Linked DNA regions of Caenorhabditis elegans. The protein of the gene in region 2 interacts with the protein of the main gene of each other region in a pairwise test. Each region holds a gene or a part of one and is shown on either strand. Other genes may lie near its edges.

Region 1 (12,231 bases), on a different chromosome or scaffold from region 2:
AAACTACCTTCGGAAAATTCTCAAAATTCCAAAACCGGACGCGATGACCGGAAATATGCCAGTTCTATCCCCAACCATCCTTAATTATGCCAATTATTGTACATATATCTTACATGGATCAATTTGAATCTCCACGAACTCCTTTGAAATATTGGATGTATCCATTGCGTTTTTCACTTTCGGAATGAACGGAGCCTTAAGCTCACGATTCAGAAGCTTATCCCAATCAACCGGAAGGAAGAATGGATGATCACGAATGTCACGGAAATCATTGCGATGGCCCAGACGCTTTGAACGGTCTTTTTGCAAGAGCCCGGTGATGAGCTCACTGCATGGCACAGAGATGTTGTGCTTGAGACGAAGTGGCTGGTTGATGATCTTGTCGTACATCTCGTTATGATCTTTTGAGTAGAATGGAGGCTGAAATGATTGCTCTTTTTTGGGGGGGGGGGGAGCAGATTAAGAAAGTTATGTCAGGGAAATAAATCAAATCAGCAATTTTAGCTTGAACTATGTAATATTTTGTGTTCTGTGGTTTTGGGAAAATCACAGAACAAAAAGAAGAAGCAAAAGAAGAAGCAATTTTAAGTTTCTAGTCTGAATTACACATCAGGGCTGTACTAATAGAAAAAATATGGTAAATAGGTTATGTAAAACTTTTAGAGAAGGTCATTGGAACAAAAGTCGGCAGAGTTCTATTGCGCTAAGCTCTACGAAAAGCGGAAGAAAATTGCAGTTGTAACTACTAATTATAAAACTAGTCATCATATTTTTTAATAAACCAGCTATAATATTTCAGATTGTGTATTTCAAGTTTATGCCAACTCGGCAATCCTTACCAATCCAAAAATCATTTCATAGAGAACCGATCCCAAACACCACCAGTCAACAGTCTTGTCGTAAGGCTTTTTCAGAATAATTTCCGGGGCCAAGTACTCCGGCGTCCCACAAAATGTGGAAGTTGTCTTGCTTCCTTGCATATCTTCTTTACAGAGCCCAAAGTCGGTGAGCACCAAGTAACCTTTATCGTCCAACAGAAGGTTTTCAGGCTTCAAATCTCTGGAATGTAAATTTATATTTGCATATTGCCAAACCAATTTAGAGGTTTCTTTTTTTGAAAGCAAGTAAATCGCTACCTGTAGATAATGTTTTTCTCGTGAAGATAACCCAGAGCACATGCAATCTCGGCCGCGTAAAAACGACTTCTCGACTCGGAAAAATGTTTCTCGCGTTGGAGGTGAGAGAAAAGCTGAAATGCCACATTTTGAAAGTTTTATAAGTTTTCTATCGAGTCCATTCTTCCCTATATTAATCTAAACACATGGAATAGGTACCTCTCCTCCGTTCAAGTGATCGAGCACAAAATACAGCTTCTCCTTATTTTGGAACGAAAAGTGAAGTGAAACAAGGAAAGGGTGCTTAAAGTTGTTAATGAGCACATTTCTTTCTGCCATGACGTGTTTCACCTTAAAAACGTATTTGCTACTTATGTTCCAAAAACTTGTAACACTAATCAATACCTCGTTCTTTTTTCTGATATGTTCCTTGGACAGAATTTTCATGGCGTAGATTTTTTTGGTCTCCTTGTGCCTGACTTGGTAAACTCTTCCAAAGCTTCCTTTTCCGATAGTTGTCAGATAATCGAAATCATTGGCGGTGGCTCTGAAAATAAACTGCTAGAGGCAAAAAGTCTTGCAACGTATATATGAAACTCTGGTTTCTAAAATTTCCATAAAAATTATACTGTTGGTCGAAAAATTTTGAGTCGACAAAAATAGGTCAACATGAGATGGGAAAGCCAAAATTTTCGGAAAATAAGCAACACTTCCTATTTTGGAACGAATCAAAAATGGATGTCTTGTTTCAAAGATTGGAAAAATTTCAAAAACTTGGTAACGTAGCTATTTTAAGAGCAGATGAAACAAAATTAGAAGCTCATTGCAAACGTTCGGGGAAAAAAATCAAAAGTATTTAATATAGGTCTCCCATGAGGTCGTCGCGCAAGACGGATGTATGCGAATGTATAATGTTGCGCGGAACCCCGAACGTGTCGGCCGCTTCCAAACAACCATCTCTTCACACTACGTTGCGCACACACCAAGCTACTTATTTCACGACCAAGCTGCGGAACCCCGAACATGTCGGACGCTCCAAATAACTACATTTCGAACTTCATTGCAAACACACGGTGGCGTCGGGGTGAGGTCCGCATTTTGCGCATCACTCAGCTGGGAGCTCTACTTCAATATGTGCAACTTTGGCGATTTACCGCAAATCCTTATGGCCAAAACATACGTTTTCCTCTCACTTGGTCCGAGATCAACATTATTCTCATCATCATCCGGACTTTCGAGATGGAAGAACCGACGGACATCCTCACTGTAATCATTGTAATCAAAGAATTATAAACTATCCAACATAAATTAATCTCATTACCTTCTTAAATTATTATCAACAAGATGCTGACTAATCACAAGGATCCAAACACGTCTTTTCTCGTAGAACTTGCTGTCAGCTTGCAGGAACTTCTTTTTCGGCGCAGTGAAAATTGTAGCCGGGATCATATCCTTTTCCTGAAAGTCAATAAAAAGTTGGAAAATAAAAACTTGAAAAAACTGACAGTTGTAAAAAATCTTTCATATTCTTCAAACGTTTTTTGCATAATTGGGCCATTTCCGATACGGAGCGCGTAAACCTGAAAATATAATTTTATTTGAAAACTCGTCAAGTGTATTTAAAAAAATATTTCTGATTTGGGCATGTGTGACAAATTTGTAATTTTCTATTATAGTTACTCGCCGTGTAGTCTTCAGGAAAAATGTTTTATAATTGAAACTGAACGTGTAAACTTTAAAATATTTCTTGTGGAACACACAAATCTCAAAAGTGAACACGGTAAATCTATAAATTGCAAGTTGCCGGAATTGAAAACGTGCAAATTGCCGATTTGCCGAACTTGCCGGAAAAACGACAATTGCCAAAAATGTTTGGCAAATTGTGGTTTTGCACATTTTTAAAAAATTTCAGAATTTCAATTTTAATCGGAAAAATTGTACGCATGTTCCAACATATATTTTGAAAATTGAACAACTTCTATGTAAATAGCTAAAGAAAACGGGAAAAAGTTTCAAAAAGGGCCAATTTTCATGTGTTTCCGTCTTATAAAAATCCCTCTAGACATTTCCGGCAAACTTGATATCCGGCAGACGGAAAACCGACAATTTGCCAAAAAAGAAAATTTCCGGCAACTCGGCAAACCGGTAAATTGTCGGAATTGAAAATCTCCGGCAAATCGGGAAAACCGGCAATTTGACGATTTGCCGAATTTGTCGACAAAATTTTTTTCCGCCTATCCCTGCATCACATTATACTTTACGGACAAAAAATGAGATAATATTTATTTTTAAAACTCTTTAAATTAATCTTAATGCTCTCTAACTTACCACAGTTTTCTTATCATCTCCTATAATAACATTGCATGTCACCTCATCTTTCCTCACCATTCTCGACTCTGAAATATTCAAAATTAAATTATATTAAAACATTTATCGATATCAATAAAAAAATAAATTAATGAGCATAACTAAAACTCGTCAATAAAAATCGATTGCTATTTCCGGGAAGCAGATCATGACTTTTTCTTCGGCCTTATCAGTCCTTTGAGAGAGTTTCACTACACTTATCAATACTGCATAAGCACTTTTTGACATGAAACTTATGTTGAAAAGAAAATTGGAAAAGGTAGTATGGCTCTGGTTTCTCAACTCCATTAGAGGTAATGAAAGGGTAAAAAACTTCTAGAGAAGGAAAAAAAAATATCATCATCATAATTTCTTCCGGTTGATGCAGAAAGTGACGTCATTATTTGCATTTTGAAAGAATCATAGAAATCATAAAAAGAAGCATGCAAAGTAAATAGATTGTTAAGAGGTATATTTCAAGATGATATAGATACGTTAAAGAAAAAATTTAAACCATTAATAATTTATAAATTAATTTCAAAAATTAGATGAATGAAAATGTCTATTTTTTTATTTTTTCAAGCATAAAAATAATTATTTGAAACTCTCAAAATAGGCACAATGATAAAAAATAATTATTTTAATCCATTGCAAACCTTTTTTGTAGTTCTAATACTACACAAGTAAAACGTAATAAATTGAAAAAACGTATTCAGTTTTGATTTCAGAAAATGAAAGTTCAAATGAAAATTAAGCTGTCAAACAGAAATGCGTTATCAAATCATTACGTTTGACCAGTGGATTATTTTATGTCAGAATTGGAAAATTTGATTTTGAAATCATGAAGACTGAAGTATGTTTCAGAAAGAGTTCATTATATTATAATTTCTTGGAAAACCTAATGCATTGTATTTTCCTGTGAGCATTTATAGGTTTGTTAAAAAACATCTAAATTCATAATGAAAATTCAAAACTAGTAAGTTTATGTTTGAGTTAATGATCTATCTGCATTTTAAAGGTGAAGTAGCGCCAATGGGGATTTTGTCTAAATGCTCTTATTATGATCCAAAACGACAGAATATCATAATAAAAAACTGCAAAAATTTTAGACTTTTCATAATTTCCGGTCAAAGTTTTGGCAAATGGCCAAATTTCGAAAAATATGAGCTTGTGAGGAAATCCGAAGCATGGCCGCATGTTTAGACCCCTACAATGTTTAAATGTGAATAATTAAAACACAGTCACAGTATAAACAATGTAGAAAAACTTTTTTTTTTCGGACGACTTCCAAAATTTTGAGTAAAAACTAAATAATTGTCACTTTTTGAGAGTAAAAAAAAAATTTCAAAAATTTTTTGAATAGTTTTATTTTGATATTCCATTAATTTGAGACCATAGGCGTGGTTTTTGACAATTTCCCCCACTGGCGCTACTCCACATTTAAAGCACATTTTAAAAAAAATTTATGATAACTTCTCACAGGTGTAGTAGCGAAATTTGGATTAATTTTTTAATTGGGTCAAAATGACCCCAAAATATCGAATTTAATTTATTTTTATTTCTGAAAAAAATAAAAAATACAAAAAACTACATTTTTAACTTGTCAACCTATGTTTGTCATAGTTACCCAAAATTGATTTTTATTAAATTTTATTGAATGTTCTGTTTTTCTATGTATTTTTAATGAATATATTTATTGTTATGACTTTTTTCGTTGATTAAGTTGTTTTCAGGAGTAAGAAGTATTTTTTGCACCCATCAACTAATGTTTTCAGACCGCCGCAACTGTGACATGTTGGCAGAAATCTAGGTTTTATCTGGAAGAGCTAGGTTTTCAAAATTTTATCAGCCATTTAAAAAAATTGAGACTTTTAAGACATTTCAGATTTTGAATTTCTTAAAACAAATACAAACATTTCACAGAACCAGCCAGGTTTAATCTTTGACTCACCATTATAATACATGCTGCCCATTGTCACAGTAATGCTCTCGTATTTAGAATAACCGCCACCAGGTCGAATGTGGGTTTTCGATGTATCTTGTCTCGTGTTAACTGATTAGAATCGCTGGGTTGGACCTTGTCTTCTTATCACGGCTCACCGAGCCATTCGTCTGACTTTCTTATTTGCTCTTGATCACGTTATCACCTTTAATATTTCCCCACCTTACTTTTCCTATCAATGTTTCAAATGAAAAATGAACATTCCATATGGCAATTTTTTGATCTGTATAAAGTATTTATTGTTGAAAATGAGTAAGTTACCGGAGGAAAAAGAAACAAAAAAGTGAAAAAGTATATAGCAAACGGAAAAAATGCAAACAGGCAGGCAGCAAAGAGTTGGGGTTCAGATTTCTGGTACAAAGAGAAGAAAACAGTAAATAGCTCAAGCAAAAAGCTAGATTTAGGAAGATGTCGTTTGTTGGCTTTGACGTTGGATGTGTGTCGCGCGCTCCTGCAAAGAAAAAAATAACATTTTATTCTGCACGTAAATTTTTGGGGGTTGAATTACCTCTCCCTTATTGTTGTAAAGGATTGTTTGAACGTTGGCGCCAACACCGAATGTTTCGTCACCTTCGAAAATGAGCACTTCTGGAGGATTGGCGATTCCTTGTCCGCGGGCGAAGATCTGGAAATGTAGAAATTTGTCTTTACAGTGGTTTTTTTAATGTTAAAACACCTCACTTGAATTTCTTTTTTTTTTATGAAAAATGTTTTGTATGAAATTGATTGAAGGTGGAGTAGCGCCAGTCGGGAAATTGTTAAAAACCACTCCTTTGGTCCAAAAATGACCAAACATCTTGATAAAACTTTTCAAAAAAAATTTTTAAATTTTTTATTTACTGTCAAAAAGTGGCAATTACTCAGTTTTTGCCACTCATAATTTTGGAAGTCGATCAAAAAAAAAATTTTTTTTCGACATTTTTTATGTTTTAATTTTGTTTGTATTAAAACATTGTAGGGGTCGAAACATGCGACATTTCTTTGAATTTCCTCAAAAGCTAGTATTTTAAAATTTTTTGGGAATTTGCCAAAACTTTGACCGGAAATTATGAAAAATCTAAAAAAAATTTTGGAGTGTTTTATTATGATATTCGGTTGTTTTGGATCATTATAAGTGCATTTAGACAAAATCCCCACTGGCGCTACTCCACCTTTTAAATAAATAATTGCTTCTTTCAAATTCATTTCTTATTCAAACCTTATTTGAAAACATTTTTTTTCAAAGCTGACCTAAATAATCTCACATCTCATCTGTCCCTTTTATTGATTTCTGTGAACAACGTTTGTCTTCACAGTTTCCATCAATTTGTTTATCACTTTTTATTCCTTCTTTTTCTCCTACATACATCCCCAATCTTTCTTTTTCGAAGCAAAGTTACCCCCCCTTTAGTCATTACGGACGGATGACCTTGCCACACCCAAACGCAATCGCGCATTAGATTATCAATTCGACACACACACACAGAGACAACAACACATTTCATTCTGAGACACCAATTTGAAATGTTTTATACGCGACAGGTCCTGGGTAGCTAGGCTTGTTTCTGAAAGAAGTAGAAATTCGCAAACCTTGACAGATTGGAATGGGTGGAGGATGTAGTCGGATGGGAAGGTGAAGACGATCTCGCGTTTTCCGTCGATCTTTCTCTTAAGCTTCCAGTCTCCGAGTGGCTCTTCTTTGGCTCTGTGTGTGTTTTCCAAAATGACAAATTTGCCTTCTGGGGAGGTTTCCTGAAAAGAAATTATCATTATTGAGTATGTACTAAGTGATAAATTGATTATTTTTATGTCGGAATGATATTATTAGTGACTACAGTCAATGGCCATTGGAAGTTTTAAATTTTTGAACGTCAAAGCTTTATTTTAGCGAAAAAGCAATTTTCAAAAAACTTGAAAATAAATCCCTCACCTTGATCGCCACATTTCCTTTAGCTGAACGTTGATAAGATGTTCTGCTGGAGTGTTCTCCTTTGACTACGCGCATCGTTTCGGTGTCAGCCTCTTCATTGATTGCAGATGTGCGGACGACCTTCTCGACAAGTTGCCGAAGCCCATTTCCTTCAGAATTACCTTCCAACATTTGTCTGTAAACCTTGAGCTCCCCATCAAGGGTTTGTTTAGTGTCAAGGAGCATCTGGAGCTCGACCATGAGAGCTTGGCATTCTTCACGGAGCTTGCGGATTTGTGCATCCTTGTCATTGAGGGCAGCTTCGTAGGATCTTTGGTCATCCTCGAGCTGGTAGTTGAGATCTTCGATTTGTTTCTCAAGAAGAAGATTCCTTGATTCCAAATCAGAAAGCTTTTGGCGGAGCTCGGAAGTTTGATTGCGGAGTCTCTTCACCTCCTCTTTCTGATAGTTGTTCTCCGCGTTTTGGCGGTTGGATTGAGTATTGATCTCTTGAACTCTCAACTGGTACCAGGATTCCATGTCATTACGGTTTCCATTCATGATCTGGTCATACTCGGCACGAATGTCACGCATAGCATTAGCGAGTTCATTCTTGAAGTACTCGCGGTTTTCACTAGTGGTGTCACGAGCAGCTTGAGCCTGAAGCTCCTTGAGCTCAGTCTCAAATCCTCTCTTCATGAAGTCAATCTCCTCCAGAATAGTCTTCACCTTGTTTTGGTTGTCGATACGAAGAAGGGTTTCCTGGTCGAGCTCCTGAAATTAAAAATTGTATCTTTTTTTCCGAATACTTCATGATTTAGTCACTCACAATGCGAACACGTTGGAGTTCAGATGTGAGCCGGAAGTTTTCCTTTTTCAGGCGAGCAACTTCTTCCTCAAGGAGGGCGATGCGTCTCTTGAGAAGGTTGATCTCGGCTTCGAGGTTGGAAAGGGTAACCAAAAGATCATCAATCTTCAAACGATCTTCAGCACGCCCTCTTTGGGCCTCTTCAAACCTGAAAATAATATTCAATGTGAATTTTGTTAGATATAAACGGGACCGGTATTAATGGTATAGGATATACAAAGTTTCAACTTCTTAACGGAGTGATACTGGAGCAATGGCTAGAATTGCTCAAACTCTCCAGAATAGGATCCAGATTTAGCAGATTATCAATATAAACGAATCATTACGGTTTTCATATTTACTATGGTTTCTCATCTCAATTAAACTCACTTCTTTCGCAACTCGTCGAGTTGATCCTGAAGCTTACGAATCTCCTTTTCAGTCTCTCCGTGATCCTTTCCTGTCTGCTTGACAACATTGGTGGCAGTGGTGATCTCCATCTCATACATAACTTTCACAGATCCGGTACTTTTTCCAAATCTTCCTTGGAGCATCTTCAGATCGGCATCCAACTTTCTGTTCTGAGCATCAAGGAATCTGACCTTCTCAATGTAGCTAGCCAAACGATCATTGAGCTCCATGATTTCTTTCTTTTCACGCTCACGGTTGTCTCGGATGGTGGACGCAGCATTCTGTCCGTATGGGGAGAGTCCACTTGAAACTGAGGAAGAGTGAGTTTCGGTGACAATCTTCAGCACACGATTCCCTGATCCTGGTGCTCCATAGTTTTGACTACTGCTGGTAACAGTGCGGTTGAATGATGGGCGAGAGGTGATGGAGCTGCGGTAGGAATCTGGATCGGTCATTATGTCTGAAAATTTTAAATTGTTAGAAAAATCTATGTTATAATATATTGGGGAGCAAGAAAATAGAGAGAAGTTGAAACAATCAGATTGTCTAATTTGAATTGTTTTATGAAAACTTAGAAACAAAAAAATATAGCAATTCAGGGACAATGTGAGAAAAATGACAAAACCCGAGACACACCCTCTTGAGAATATAACTAACCACACCTACATAAGTAAATCGAGAAATTGAAAACTGGGAGGGGAGGTGGAGGGCGACATAAAAACTGCCTCACCTCTTCCTTCCCAACCCATCAACATTTCTTGTACACGAAGAAGGTGGCGGATCGGGAGGGGCTGGAGATGGGCGGCGCAGTGAAGATGATGGAAGGGAGCGGTTTTCTCCAATTTATCGTTTTTTTTCTCTCTCTCTTTCCTGACCACTTATCCATTCGCAATCCCCGCCTCCATTGGTGATTGCAAAAGTGACGAAGATGGACATGTTCCCGTAAGTGAATTATTGTTCTACTACCAGAAAAGGGTGTCGTCCAGATGAGTCAGGAGTCAGTTAAAACACGATTGGGTGTGGTTTTGATTAATGATTATTCGTCTTGAGAGATTGTGAAGTTTAACTGTTACATATTCTATTCAAATATTCGATTCGAGGTGACTAATTGATAGATTAAGTGATAGATATGTCAGAATTCACCCACTTGCCTCGAATTAAAATGATTAGATAAATGTGAAGAGACAGCAAAAAAGATTTTTAGTGATTGAACTTCGGCAAACTTCAAAGGAAACTTTCTTAAATGTTTGTTCTTAGTTTCAAAATGAAGAAACTAGTTTCAAAAAGTAATTAGTCAAAGAACTACAGTTTTTTTACACCGATCTAGCTGCAACATGAATTTTGGTTTTTTTTGTTGTTATTTTTGAATAATCAAAACAATTAAAAGCCAATAGTCTTATTTAATATTTGTGCTCTAGTTTTCGTTAATTAAAAAAGGAATATAAATAGAATTTGAAATCAGCTCCCTTAAATGATTTAACTACTTCTTTCTCCGTAAAGTGAAAAAAATTTGAGAAGAAACAAAGAAAATTTTAATTTTCTACTGTTCCTAGGTAGGCAATAAGCACAAGCTATAACTGTAATAAACTTTAAGGTGAAGTAGCGCAAATGGAGATTTTGCCTAAATACACTTATAATAGGCCAAAACCACGAGGAGAATTGCCAAAATTTTGAAAATATGAGTCTTTTAAGGAAACCCAAAGCAATGTCGCATGTTTCGACCCCTACAATGTTTTAATACGAATAATTTAAATAAAATTGCATTATAAAATATGTAGAAAAAAAAATTTTTTTTGGTCGACTTCCAAAATTATGAGTGGCAGAAACTGAGCAATTGTCACTTTTTGACAGTAAATAAAAAGTTTTCCAATTTTTTTGAAATGTTTTATCATGGTATTTGGTTATTTTGAGACCATAGGAGTGGTTTTTGACACATTCCCCACTGGCGCTATTCCACCTTTACAACTGAATCAACTAACTGTTGTTTATTAGAATATATTAAAACATATAAATTTAGATGTCGAAAATCAGTGAATAAAAAATTAGTAAGAAGTAGTTTAGGTCATAATGAAATGGCGCTCAATGTTAGATCAAAAAATATAAACTGAAAGACAAAGAATGGATGAAAATTTGAATTGAGTCATGGCAAAATACTGCATGAAATAAATAAAAAATTACGGTTCCGTACAATTTCGGCTTGAAAATAAGAAGAAAAAATTAACTAAGATGGGGAAATTTCTCGTATTGTTATCCGAGCAAGGTTAGATTTATGAAGTTGTAGTCTGTTGGCTTTGGCGTTGCATGTGTGTTGCGCGTTCCTGCAAAAAAAGATTCTAAATACTTTTGAAATTTTGGCTTGAGTTACCTCTCCACTGTTGTTGTAGAGGATTGTTTGAACATTGGCACCAGCACCAAATGTGTCGTCACCTTCGAAAACTAGAACTTCTGGAGGATTGGCAACACCGTTCCCGCGGGCGAAAATCTGGAAATAGACCGTTTTTTTGACAGTTTGGCATGCAGCCTGAAAAACTTTAATTTTTTTGTCGCTAAAATTTTTTGAAACATCACTTTTTTCTGGTTCTTAATTGTTTTTGATGTTTTTCTCTGTTGAAAAATTAGATTATATCAGTTTCAGAAAACATAACTAGATGCTTCCCAGTCTTCTATCTTTTGCTACATAGCCAGGAAAAAGTCCACTCATCATTTTCAGATGACCTTGTCACACCCCAGTGCGCATCAGATTATCAATTCGACACACAGAAATGACAGTAACACATTTCACTCTGAGACACCAATTTGAAATGTTTTATATCCAACATTTCCAAATTGTTAGATATAATTTTGAATTCTCAATAAAATTTCACAAACCTTGACAGTTTGAACCGGGTGGAGGATATAGTCGGATGGGAAAGTAAAGACGATCTCGCGTTTTCCGTCAATCTTTCTTTTCAGCTTCCAATCTCCGAGTGGCTCTTCTTTGTCTCTGTGCGTGTTTTCCAAGATGACAAATTTGCCTTCTGGGGAGACTTCCTGAAAATAAATAATGATTAATTAATGCAATTAGAAGAAAATATCAAATTTTAAATTTTGTTCAATCTTAATTTTGAGATACGATTTCAACTTCGAAATCAGAAACATCCTGTAACTTTCGATTTAAACAAAATGAATTTTGCAGATAATGAATTATTTTCCATCCAATGAGTACTTTTTCTGTTTTGGATATAGTGTTAACAATTATAAAAATTTTTCTAACCTTGATGGATACATTTCCCTTTGCGGAACGTTGATAAGATGTTCTGCTGGAGTGTTCTCCTTTGACTACGCGCATCGTTTCGGTGTCAACCTCTTCATTGATAGCAGATGTTCTGACAACCTTTTCCACAAGTTGGCGAAGTCCGTTCTCTTCCGAGTTACCTTCCAACATTCGTCTATAAACTTTGAGCTCTCCATCAAGAGTTTGTTTGGTGTCAAGAAGCATCTGGAGCTCGACCAGGAGAGCTTGGCATTCCTCACGGAGCTTCCGAACTTGAGCATCCTTGTCATTGAGAGCGGCTTCATAGGATCTTTGGTCATCTTCGAGCTGATAGTTGAGATCTTCAAGTTGCTTCTCAAGAAGACCATT
Region 2 (12,231 bases):
ATTTTGAGTCCATACGAGCAATATTCCTTCAATAAAAAACACTTACATAGCTCTTCTGTCCACCAGGCGCAACTTTATTCGGAGAAATTCGTTGTGTTGCCATACTTGCAAATTTCAGCAAAAGTCGTATTTGATCCGGAATAGCGGCTCGCAGAGATGTTCCTGATAGTGTACATTCAACAAATACAATTTTAACAGCTTCCAAAAGAGCTTCCTGTGTCGGTGTCAGATGTGTAGTAGCTGATGGAAGTACAAATGGTGCTTGTTCTGATGGAATGGGTACATTCATCATACTTTCCAGTACTGCTGGCAGACTTTCATATTTTAAATCGTCTACAGTAATACTTTTGGCAACTTTGTCGAATAATGGAGGGAACACATGAAGAATCGCTGTGAGATGAGAAGGTCCGGGAACATAGATTCCTGGAGCAAGCGATGCTAACGAAGACGATGATGAATTCATTCTTGGAGTTGAAGAAATTGATTTCGAATCAGCATTCACTGAATTTGCCATTGCAGCACATCCTTGTCTAGCCAATCCTCTTGAAATTCTCAGCCAAACTTTCCAAGATTCAACCCATTGGGCTTGTGGTAACTCGGGTGTAATTGCATCAATAGTAGAATCAGATCCATTGCTTTTTTCATGACTATTTACATTCAACGTCTGTGATGAGATTTTTCCGAGTAAAACTTCCTGATAACTTCGAATTGCTGATAGTGATAGTTCGGCATTTTCGTAGCACGCAGCCCAATCCAAATATCCTAGAAATGCTTCCCAAACAGCACCAAAGTCATTCAACGCGAGCAAAGATTTTCGTTGAGAATTGAAAATTTTGGATATAGCAGAAATGGTATGAATGCATGTTTCCGTCCATTGCTTCTGTTCTGTATCTCTCGAATGATGCATTATCAGTTCTCCATTTGATTTTTCCGTAGATGCACATCTTGTCTGTGATCGAACTTTGTCAAGTAATGGAATCATTATCTGCCATATAACACTATGCCATGCAGCAGATCGAAGTGCATGTCCATGTGCTGTGACTGTTTGTAGAAGAGTTTGACACGCTGATTTTCGTACAGCAAAGCGAGAGTCTACACATGATTCGGAGAGGCACGTGTACAGTACCATCCACACAGCTTCGGAAGCATCGTTTCCAACGGATTCCATTTTTCGGTAAATGAAGTCGGAAATCGTCCACTGAAAATATTAGGATTAATTATCGTAAAACTTGAAAAAAAGTTATTGCGGTGTCGTCTGAAAGACGCGTGGATTTGTTGGAATGGGTCTCGCCACGATATTGTTTGGTACCGTTATTCTATTAATTCAGGACTATTATGGGATCACAAAATTCGAAGAATGCATATTGCGCAACATATTTGACGCACAAAGTATCTCGTAGCGAAAGCTGTTGTCGATTTACTCGATTTTTTCCATTTTCTTTAGTTTTTTCGTCATTAATGTGTTTTATTTTAATATTTTAATCGAATTATAATAACTGATTTCTGTAAATCGGCTTCAGCTCTACAGTAGCCAGTTAGAGAGTCAGTGTAGTTTTCGCTGTTTCTGCTCGTGGCGAGAACCATTTAATCGAATCTTTGCGTCTTTAAGCACGCGTTATAAAAATTGGAAATTACGATACGGTATATATTATGATAATTTTTTAAGAACAAAAAATAATATAATTTTAACTCACCAGCAATGTTAACGCAGACAAGGAAATGTTTTGGTCCGTGTTCTGCTTGGAATATCGTGAAATCGCTTCGACAAGCCCCGAAATACAATCAAAAGGAATTGATTGTAGAAAATCAGATGACACGAGACGAAGACCAAGATATCCTTGTCGTACCAGAGACAGCTCACACCTTAAAATATAAAATGTATAATTAAAAACTTCAAAAGAAAAACTCACTCAGTATCACTATCAATGATGGCTGAGATAATTTGTATAACATTGGGCCATGACGTCGAAAGTAAGAAAGCACCATCAGTTTGCATTAGTGACATTACACAATCGAGTTGTCTCCGACGAACTTGAATATGAGGAATTGAACAGAGAGCTAGAAGCGATGAAATTATCATTTCCTGTTGACTTTTTGCATCCATTGAAGTTTTCGATTTTACAGCATGTTTTGCTAGTGAAGTCAGTGCAACTGCTGCCCAATCACGCATTGATACAGAAGTATGATTGCACACCTGAAATTAGATCATTGAAGTTCAGTAAAATTTATTTCCAAACAGGCAAGTCTAGCAGTTCTACAAAATGATCCAGTGTGGCTTCACAATATATTTTTTTAATGTTTAAAATTTAATGATAAAGACATGATATCTGAAAAAATTTAAAAATTTACTCAAAAACTGTCATGACAATTGCCGGAAAAATTTCGGCATGTTTAAACTTTCATACAATTTTTGAGCAACATTTTAATTGTTTCAACTTTAAAAAAATTTTCAGACAAAGCACAATTTTTTTACATTTTAAATATTACTAAATTACAATGAAAACTATTAGAAGAACTGGTTCATTTTGCTGGCCGCACCCCTGATTCCAACAAACCTTGATAAAATGATTAGCAGCTTTTTGCCAAAATACTTGAAGTCTCATCAATGAAAGTGAGCAAACTTTATAGAGAACTGCAAGAGGAAACAGAGAACTTTCTCTTCCAGTAGCTGCAACAGCGAGACTTTCATCAGAAAGACGAATAAGGGCATCTATCACAGAAAGAAACGATTTGTCTGGTAGTGCAGCGATTGCAGGTGCTACTTTATCCATTAATGATGATAGCATTGCTATGTCAGAAAGTGCTGCATTTGTCACCACAGTTGGTACATTCGAATGATCATCTCTTGTTTCTCGTTCAAATTGTCCAACTTGTGTCGGCCGCATTGCAAGAAGCCAAGAAAGATGCTCACAAGTTGCCATACACAGATACCACAGATTGTTGAGTTCCTTGATGTGTGTAGTGATTGAGGCGATAAAAGTTCGAGCAGCTTGCAAATTTTTCGAAGTGAGCAATACTTGCTTATTCCATAATTCTGTTGAAACTACAGGGCATGGACATGGAGGCCCTGATGCTGTAACTTGGGTCGTCGATGGCCATGCTTCCAAATCAAATACTTGCTCCGAAACTGGAGCATCCCGTTTATTGGCTGGACTTGGTGGTGCGATTCCTGCGAATTGATTCAGGTATGATGGTGATGGTAAGCTCATTATTGCCAGAACATAGACACTTCTATGAAGATCAGCATCAGCTCCAACTCGACATCCAGCAGATATAAGAGTCGAGAGACAACATAGTAATTGATCGCTCACAATTTCATCTGTACTGGCAGCTAGAAGACTTCCGATTGCAGCTAGAATACTTGGCTGAGAATTTGCATATGCGACTTTTGCAATTTCCAGCTTGGTTTCTGAACTTCCAGCTTCACTATTCTCATCGACAAGACACAGTTTATCGATTGCAGCATAAACAGCTTGAGTCATATCACAAAGAGCTACACAGCATCGAGAAAGTACATAACCTTCTGGAATGGCAACTGCATCCATACGATCAAGAGAGTCCAGTCTGAAAATGAGATTTTTAATGAAGAATATGATTTGTTTTCGACTAACAAAATTGTTTTCTTTGATGTCAGATGTTCCACGTATGGAACCCATAATCCTTTGCTCAAGAATCCAGGTCCTCCATCTTCTTGGCTTCTATCTATTTCATTTTCTTGGTCTGAAAAAAAACTGTGATTGTAAATAAATAAATATTACACCATACACGAAATTTTACGCACAAACTACGGTAACAGGAAAATAAAACAAACATTTTGGGTTGCATGCATGTGTGCGCCTTCAAAGAGTACTGTAGTTTCAAATTCTGGTTTCTGTGGAATTTGTACCAATTATTACAATTTGTCGTGTCGAGACCAAGAACGTCGTCAAAAAAATTCCGATATTTCGGTTTTTCAGAGATAATTTTTAAAATCGGAGTTTTAAAAAAAAAATGTTTCGGGAATTATCTGAAAAGTTCAAAATGTTTTCAAACTTTGTTTATGTTGAAAAAAACAAGAAGAAAACGTATATAATTTTCTTTAAAATATGGCCAAAATATTTTGGAATTTCGAGCGGTTTTCCGAGAAAATCGATTTTTTTTCGGAATGTCGGAAAATCAAATAAAAAACGAAAATTTAGATTTTTGAAGCCGAAAAACCAAAATGTTTGTTTTTTTTTTCAGAAAATCGGAATAGCAACATCCTTGGTTTTCATCCTTAGACCTGTTACCGTATTTTTGCATCTGAGAAATATTTCGAACGTACCACTGGAAAATGTCGTACAGACAAGACACTGCTGAACAACAGTAGATAATCCAATTGCAACTTGTTCGAGAACATGCGTCGAATTAGGACGACAATCAAAAGATTCAGTCATCCATTTGACAAGATCCGTACTCGAAACAATTCGATGCAAAGATTCTAGGGCTAAAGGTCTCTGCCATCCTTTCCTATCTCCATCCACAAACTTCAGTAGTGTTGATATGAAAATTTCGCATTCTGTGTGCTAAAATTTGAGAAAGCTTCGATTAGAACTTCAGTAATACTACGGTAGCTTACAAGAATTGTCTGATAGAACTGTACAATAAGAGTGACAATCCGAACGAGACGCATTGAAATTGGAAAAGATTGCCGTTCATGAGAAATTGTTGGTGGGTAATTGTTGAATGACGCATTGCTGGTTCGAGATGATGGATGTTGAGAAGAAATGTGCATAGCTTTCACGTTTGGAGAGAACAACCGAATTATTAATGGACACACATCGTCTTTGAGCAAATCACCGAATTCGGTGTGCTGAAAATTTAATATTAATGTTTTTTTCCGTATAATAACGTTTTTTGCTCAACTTACTCTAATAAATACTGAAGGAAATCCTTTAAGAAGTGATTCCAGCAATTCCAATCCTAGAGTCCGCGTTGTTTCCTGTATTCCAACTAGCCAAATTGGAGCTTCTCCATTGATCAAAAGGCATAAATCCTTGAACAACATGTATGCATCAGCAGCACAAGGTCTCAAAGTTGGTGGAGCTGCACGTGGACTCGGTCGCCCTCCAGATGGATTTACAACAGTTAGTTCCGTGGAAAAAATCCCATCTTCTTGAATAACTCTCTCGAAAACCGTAGAGACAAGCTGACGAACTGCAGCAGAAGCGGCATTTATTACAATTGGATCTTTGGCAAAATGAAGACGGAAGCACATAACGATACACTGAAAATGAAAAATAAGAATATTTAATTGTTTAAAATATTTTTTCATACTTTAGCCAGTGTGTTACCAGTGACAATTAATTCAGAAGAAACAAGTGGAGGGACTGTTTGAAGAACTCGCAATTCCTCGCATTCTGCTTCCACTAGGGACCATAATTCATTAGTTACAATTGTGGCGCCGTTCTGAAAAAAAAACATTAAAAAATTAAAATTCAAAAATGTATAGGCAATTGGTGTCTGACAGTTTTACAGAATGATTTTTTTATTTGAATTTAGCGATTTCATATAGAAAGATATTTGCTTTATCTGAAAATTACGTTTATTTCAGTCGGAACAATTCAAAAAATGTCTGAAAGTTGAGAATTGCCGCAAAAAATCTGAATTAAATGTCGAGTTTTTCCACCTGAAATAAAAGTGATTTTCAAATAAAGCAAGTAATTTTCTAGGTGAAATAGCTAAATTTCAATGAAAAATCTAGGGAGCACAAGCCACACGGGCTCATTCTGGAGAACTGCCGGTCACCAATTGCCACGCATCACGGATCCAATCCTACCTGACTGAGAATCCTATGCTGTACAAGTCTCTGAATTCCTTGCAAAGCGATTTGCACAAGCCTCGTGTGTCTAGTTTCACATGAGAGCACTAATGGATGTAAAAGTTCGGTGCAAGCAGCTCGGAGATTTGTGATCAGAACCGTATCACCGACAGACGCTGTACTGATATTTCGAATCCGAACAACACCCGATTCGGCTGCTTCTTTTACATGATTCTGCTTCTTTTTTGCTTCTTGTGATAAAAGACGAAGATCGCCTAGAAGTGCTTCAACCAGTTTCTTCGAATCTACCGCATTTATTGACATTTCTGAAAAATGATTTTTAATTCAAAAATAATTGTGAAAAAGGTAATGAAAAGAAATGAACAACTTGTGGAATTAATAAAAAAATCAATGCTCTTAAAAATAAATATTTATTATTTATCCATTCAATTAAAAAAAGGATAGCAGAGATCATTTCAACGTGAAAAAGAGCCACCAGCAGCAGTATATTAAAACATTTTGGAGATGACATGGGATTCAAATAAAAAGATTATGGCAAGTTGAATGTGTGTGACTAATTATGAATTTAAAGAGGAAATTTTAGTGTTATTCGATATGGAACACGAAGTTTGGAAGGAAGAGTACAAGATTGGAATGATTGGATAGATTGAAAAAAATATCACATTAGAGCTCTGGAACAGGCACCTGTTTCGATGCTAAATACGGAATGATATTTCCTGGCGCCCATTGAGAAACCGTATACACAGAATTTTCGTAGAATTGCATTCCGATCGTTGCAGCAGTACGGAAAATCTCGCCAGAAGATGCTGGAAATTGTTGAGCGAGAACGGCGAGAATACAGATAGCGAGGCAGATGAAGGTTTGTAGAAGCATCATGAGAGTTCCCTCAGTTTTCGGAAAAACGGACTGTTCGTGCCAAGATGGTAGCAACTCTTTGTCAGCTGATTCCAACTGTGAAGAAAATGCATTTTTATCTTTGCTGACTTTTGGAACAAAATCCTTCCACACAATACTAAGAAGTTGAAGAGCACCATCAATTCGTTTCCAATGTTGAATATGGAAAAATGCATAGGCCAGTGCTTCAGAGTCTCCACGTTTCAAAAAGTGTTCAGGTGGCATTATCATTGATCGAAGTTCGAGAAGATATGGTGGAACATGTGGATTGAACTCCATTGCACGAGTCAGTGCTTCGATTGCAGTTTGTTCAGCAGAAGAAAGTCCACGACGAATTGATGAGTCTGCAGCGCAGCGGAAACTGAAAATCAGATGTTAATTGGGCATTTTTGTTTGTCTTTCAAAATCTTATTTCAAAAACTTACTTCTCTGCAACAGCTCGAACCTTCAACAAGGCTGATGTATAACTCATCGCGGCTGATCTTGGTTCACGAAGTTCATAGGAGCAGGGAGCACCATATCCATCATATCTTACAAGCAAATTCTGAACATCTGCATATGCCTGAACTTCTAAGCATGCTTCTATGAGATTGTCTTGCACAGATAACAACGTTGAAAGAGATTGGTCTCGCGACAGCTGAAATTTTTTTTTTGAATTTGTATTAAAATTTCAAAGAATTCCTTACATCTCGAAAGCCTTTGATAGCTTCACGAAGTCGTCCTTGTTTTCTTGCACACATTGCCAACCTTCTTTTAATGTATGTTTGAATCGTCAAATCACGCTCTGAATATCAGTTTTTTGGTATTTTTTAAATAGAAATTCAAGATAAGCTCACTTCTAACAGCATCTCCATTTTGCGCATAACTGGCAATTTGATTGTTGGAATAGGAATTCAAAGTGGACTCAATGGCACGGAGAGCTCGACGAAGAAGATTTTCAGCTTGAGACACGGTTTCAGATTCTTCTTCTGCTAAGAGGACAAGTGCCGATGCACATTCCGGATTGATTGCCAACGCTGCTCGGGCGGTTTGAATTCGCTCTTCGCTTTCTCGCTCTCGCCATGCTACTTGCATTACTGAATTTTAAAACTTTTGCTTTTTTTTTAAATTTAAAAAACAATCCATACTTTCATATTCTGCTCTACCTTGATCTTCATCACACATGAACAATGACTGATGGTCCTGAGCGGATAAATTCATGTCATAATATGTTAATGGCTCTGAATTTGTTTCCTTTCGAAATCGATTGTACTCGGCTGCTCGAAACAGCGCCATCGGATTCCGCCAGACTTTGCATTCTGAAATTTTTCGTTTTGAAATAATAGAGATTTTTTTATTATAATTATTTATTAGGAAAGTATTAATTATTTCAAATTCCGATATGAGTTTGTGTTAATTGACATTTTGAGCCATACCTGGGACGGTTTTCGTATTTTCGATGCTTTCGTCGTTATCAGATCCCTCTTCGTCTCCTGCATCGATTCCGGCGTTGCTGAAACAAAAATTGAAGCTTAAAACGTGAAAATATGAAAAATCAACTCACTTCTTAAAGTACCACCATTCGAAAATTAGAATTATCCCTGATACCAAACTGGAGGTTCCTGTCAATGCCACGTAGAACTTTGGTGTTAGATTGTTGAAGTACGACGTCGCTGTAACTGCACGGGACATAGAAAAGAAAAGTCTTAATTTAAACTATAGACTAACCACTTTCAAGCGACTCTGATATCTTGAGTGGTCCTCGCAAAGCGAAGAGAAGCACTGCAACAAGTGCGATCCATAGGAGCCACAGGAAGGTCCATGAACAGGCCATGACCCCTAAAACACTCCAATATTAGGAAATATAAAAACTAAAAAGGCTTTGAGAGAAAAAAAAATCGATAAGAGATGAAATTGATCGGATCATTTTGCTCATTTTCGTGATGTGTAGGAAGCTAAAATTAAAAGGCTTTAATTTTGTTTGAAAGTTCTCAATTTCTTGTACCGCGCATGAAATAATAGTCAAAAATATTACTTTTAAGGCAAGATGCAACTTATTATCCGACAGCCGGTTGGTGGTTGTTGGTGACGTGCCAAAACAACGCAGAGAGAGAGACCGCGAGACATGGAAGACGGACGAGAAATCGATTCAATTCAAACCCTACGGCCGCGGCCTTGAGCAAATTTGTATTCTTTTACGTTAGCTAAAATATTTAACATTTCCGCATAAAACGCAAATTTTCATATTCGCAGCCTTAGTCTTTTTGAATTTACAGATTATTTTACGCTTGGTCGCTAATATATTATTTAAAACATATGTTTCTAATTTGAGTTTACTTTTGAAAGTTTTAAATCTAGAATAAACATTTTTAGTTAGAAAAAACGTTTTTTAATCAACCTATATCAAAATGCACGTAAGAATCGTGTCAATTTTCAATTCCGTTAGCTCAGGATTTTGCAAAACGAGAAAGGAATAAAACAGTTTCATCGGATAAAACAAATTCAATTTTTAATTTAAATTAAAAGAGTTTGAAATAAAAATAGAATTTATCGAACAAAAGTCGATAATTGGAAAACAATTGAAACTTTGTACGCAATTATTTGAAATCTGTGCAATCACCGTTGCTTACCGTAGTCGTGTAGTCCTCTCGGACAACTTTGATGCTTGGCTGATTTTTATTTCTGGAGTTTTTTTTTGTTTCTCCGGAGAAACAAGTTGATTAATCATTACTTTTTTAGTCAATCAATTATTATTTTATTCTCAGATGATTGTGGTGGCGCAGCATGTTCCGGATATGCAGCTAAATCCGATGCAAAGATTATTCGCTCCTCAAACCATGACAGATCTTGTTTCGAATATTACCGCTCCTATGACTGATGTGGAAGAAGCTTTGTTCAATCAAAGAGGAATGAAAGAGGTACAATTATTCTTCCAGTATAAAATTACAACACATATTCAATTTTCAGGCTCCCTTTCGCGATCTGGATCGAAGTGGAAAAGCGGTTTGTAGGAAAAACAAATTAAAAATGTGTCCATTCGGTCCAACATGCCCTCTTCGTCACATCGATGGAGAAAAAGCTGTCGTATGTAAGCATTGGCTTCGTGGTCTTTGTAAGAAAGGAGATCAATGTGAATTCTTGCACGAATATGACCTCACAAAAATGCCCGAATGCTTCTTCTTCTCTAAATACAGCGCGTGCAGCAATCGAGAATGCCCATTCCGACATATTGATCCCGAAACGAAAATGAAAGACTGTCCATGGTACGATCGTGGATTCTGCAGGCATGGACCATACTGCAAACATCGCCATCGTCGTCGTGCAGTCTGCCCCAACTATCTCGCCGGATTTTGTCTACAAGGACCAGATTGTCAATATGCTCATCCTTCATTCGGTCTGCCATCATTCGAGAATATAGCTGTCAGTCATGCCAAACCAACATACAGTCAAGCTATTACTTGCCACAATTGTCATGAAAGAGGCCACAAGGCAACTACATGTCCACATCTTCCAGGACAAACAAGACAAAATCAAGATCATCACCATCGTGTTGATCTCTCACTTATACCAGATAAAAAGAATCTATCAGATGTTACTTGTTACAAGGTAGGTTCATTTTAATCATAAAAAAAGTAAAATAATTCAATTTTAGTGCGGAGAGAAAGGTCACTACGCCAACAGATGCCACAAAGGAGCTCTCGCATTCTTGTCAAATACTGCTCACCTGGCTCACGAACAAAGAGAAAAAGATGAAAAAGAACAAGGAAGGATCAATAATATGCTAAGGCCGCCAATGTGAACATTGTCGAATATAGGAGAACGGGTGGAATCTGTTATTTTTGTTGTTTGTCAAGAATTCGAGACTGTTGGAATAAAAATTTAACCTTCCAATTATTTAATTTGTTGTTTTTTTAATATTCTTGGTTTGAAACCACAATTTTACTGATTAACATTACAAATTTATTTTATAGAGTTATATTAAGCTAACATTATTCAGATGACTCGAAAAAGACCAGCTCTTGCAGAACCGGTTTCATCTTCTCGATCACGGGTAACGAGAAGATCAACAACAGGTGCACCTTCTTCAAAAAAGAAGCGTTCACCTGAACCGGAATCTGATGCAGATTCTGAAGATGATTACGATGGCCCATCGACATCCCAAACCAAGAAATTGAAGCGGGGAAATTCATCGACGAATCGCGGAAAAGCAGCTAATAAGACAAAACGAGGATCTTTTCAAGTTAAACAAGAAATCATGGATGACGATGAAAATGAGGAAAAAATAGATGGAGAAGTAGAGAATGGTATAACATCCAGAGAACATTCACCTGATCCATCTACGTTCAAAAAGACAGCGAAATTACAAACTAAGAAGAAAAAGAAAAAAGAAAGCCCGCCGGAAACTCCACCAACATCACCAAGTCCATCACCATCGCGTTCGGTGTCTCCGTCTACAACAAAATCAGATATTTCTTCGAAAAAAGGACGCAAGGCTGTTGTAAATTCAGTATCAAAAGTGAAAATCGAAAAAGAATCTACACCAGTAAAAACGAATGGAAGAAATTTACCTCCTAAACGAAAAAAGAAGCCAGTTGAAGAAGAAACTGCAGAAGAAATTAAACTTCGTGAACGAGCTGAACGTAAAGCGAGGAGGATAGAAGAAGCTAAAAATCGTCCGAAACTAACTATTGAACAAAAACTGGCAAAACTTCGGAAGAAAAAAGAGCGAAGAGAACGGAGAAAAGAGCAAGAAAAGGAAGAATCGATGCGGCAGAAATATGGGCAACGAAAAATCAAAGCAGAAGCCAGTAAATGGAATTTTGGTCCGATATCATCGATTAATCAACGAAGGAGGGACGAAATGATGGCTTATTTTCCAAAAGCGAATTTTTTGGCCGAAGATGGTGTACCAAAAGTGATGAACAATTTTCGAAGAGCAACAGTGAAATATAATATGGAAGTTTTGAATCCATTCATTACGTGTGGAATTTGTGATGTGAGTTTTTAGTTTTAATTTATAAGTCCAAATATTTAAAAAAAAAACCAGATCATAAATTAAACTTTAAAGATCGGTTAAATTTTTACTTTGAATTTGAAGTTTTCTGAATTGAATTATCAGAAATTTCTGTATTTAAAAAAAAAAGATTGAAATAAAAAAAAATTGAAAAGAATTAGGATTTCTTGATTAAAAAAAATTACATCGTGTTTGTGAACCAGAATAAAAGAGAATAATAACCTCTCGAAGTGTTTTTCGGTAATTTTTAGTGCAATTTTTGAAAAAAATAGAAATTTTGGAAATTTGATCACTTTTTTGGATAATCTGAATTTGGAAATTACCAACACAAGTTAAAAATTTATTCAAAAAATTTTATAACTTTCCTTGAGTTGTTTGATCTCCTCTATTCCATTTTTTGTAGAAAACTAAACAATTATCGCACAAATCTCTGTTGATTTTTCTGGTTTTTCACAAAAAAATACTTCAATCACAAGCAAAGGCATTAAACTAAATGGAAATCACCATAGGAAAAAATTATATAAAAAAACTAATAAAAGTGAAT

What was found.
Region 1: the proteins of mon-2 (region 2) and sgk-1 interact in a two-hybrid assay, tested with the Caenorhabditis elegans proteins (one study listed by BioGRID).

Annotation. Positions count from the first base shown.
Region 1 is NC_003284.9:16,256,618-16,268,848, forward strand, and holds the start of sgk-1 (Serine/threonine-protein kinase sgk-1), read right to left. Parts: upstream 5,435-12,231; coding exon 5,413-5,434; intron 3,512-5,412; coding exon 3,444-3,511; intron 2,696-3,443; coding exon 2,621-2,695; intron 2,574-2,620; coding exon 2,437-2,573; intron 2,380-2,436; coding exon 2,296-2,379; intron 1,663-2,295; coding exon 1,521-1,662; intron 1,467-1,520; coding exon 1,335-1,466; intron 1,250-1,334; coding exon 1,137-1,249; intron 1,060-1,136; coding exon 840-1,059; intron 421-839; coding exon 114-420; intron 1-113. Other genes in the region: mua-6 (Intermediate filament protein ifa-2), read right to left, coding at 5,864-5,914, 5,972-6,088, 7,033-7,194, 7,373-8,125, 8,181-8,367, 8,589-9,064; Intermediate filament protein ifa-3, read right to left, coding at 10,877-10,927, 10,975-11,091, 11,478-11,639, 11,863-12,231. UniProt on the Caenorhabditis elegans protein: Acts downstream of PI3 kinase age-1 and kinase pdk-1 in the daf-2/insulin receptor-like transduction pathway. Essential role in regulating development, stress response, and longevity.
Region 2 is NC_003282.8:12,090,653-12,102,883, reverse strand, and holds the start of mon-2 (Monensin-resistant homolog 2), read right to left. Parts: upstream 6,106-12,231; 5' UTR 6,104-6,105; coding exon 5,798-6,103; intron 5,428-5,797; coding exon 5,296-5,427; intron 5,246-5,295; coding exon 4,889-5,245; intron 4,832-4,888; coding exon 4,598-4,831; intron 4,545-4,597; coding exon 4,304-4,544; intron 3,721-4,303; coding exon 3,612-3,720; intron 3,565-3,611; coding exon 2,556-3,564; intron 2,195-2,555; coding exon 1,911-2,194; intron 1,864-1,910; coding exon 1,695-1,863; intron 1,199-1,694; coding exon 47-1,198; intron 1-46. Other genes in the region: F11A10.5 (Protein ST7 homolog), read right to left, coding at 6,464-7,055, 7,120-7,331, 7,381-7,478, 7,531-7,770, 7,822-7,992, 8,110-8,186, 8,238-8,352, 8,402-8,507; cpsf-4 (Cleavage and polyadenylation specificity factor subunit 4), read left to right, coding at 9,469-9,591, 9,641-10,279, 10,326-10,472; Polycomb group RING finger protein 3 homolog mig-32, read left to right, coding at 10,671-11,669. UniProt on the Caenorhabditis elegans protein: May be required for traffic between late Golgi and early endosomes.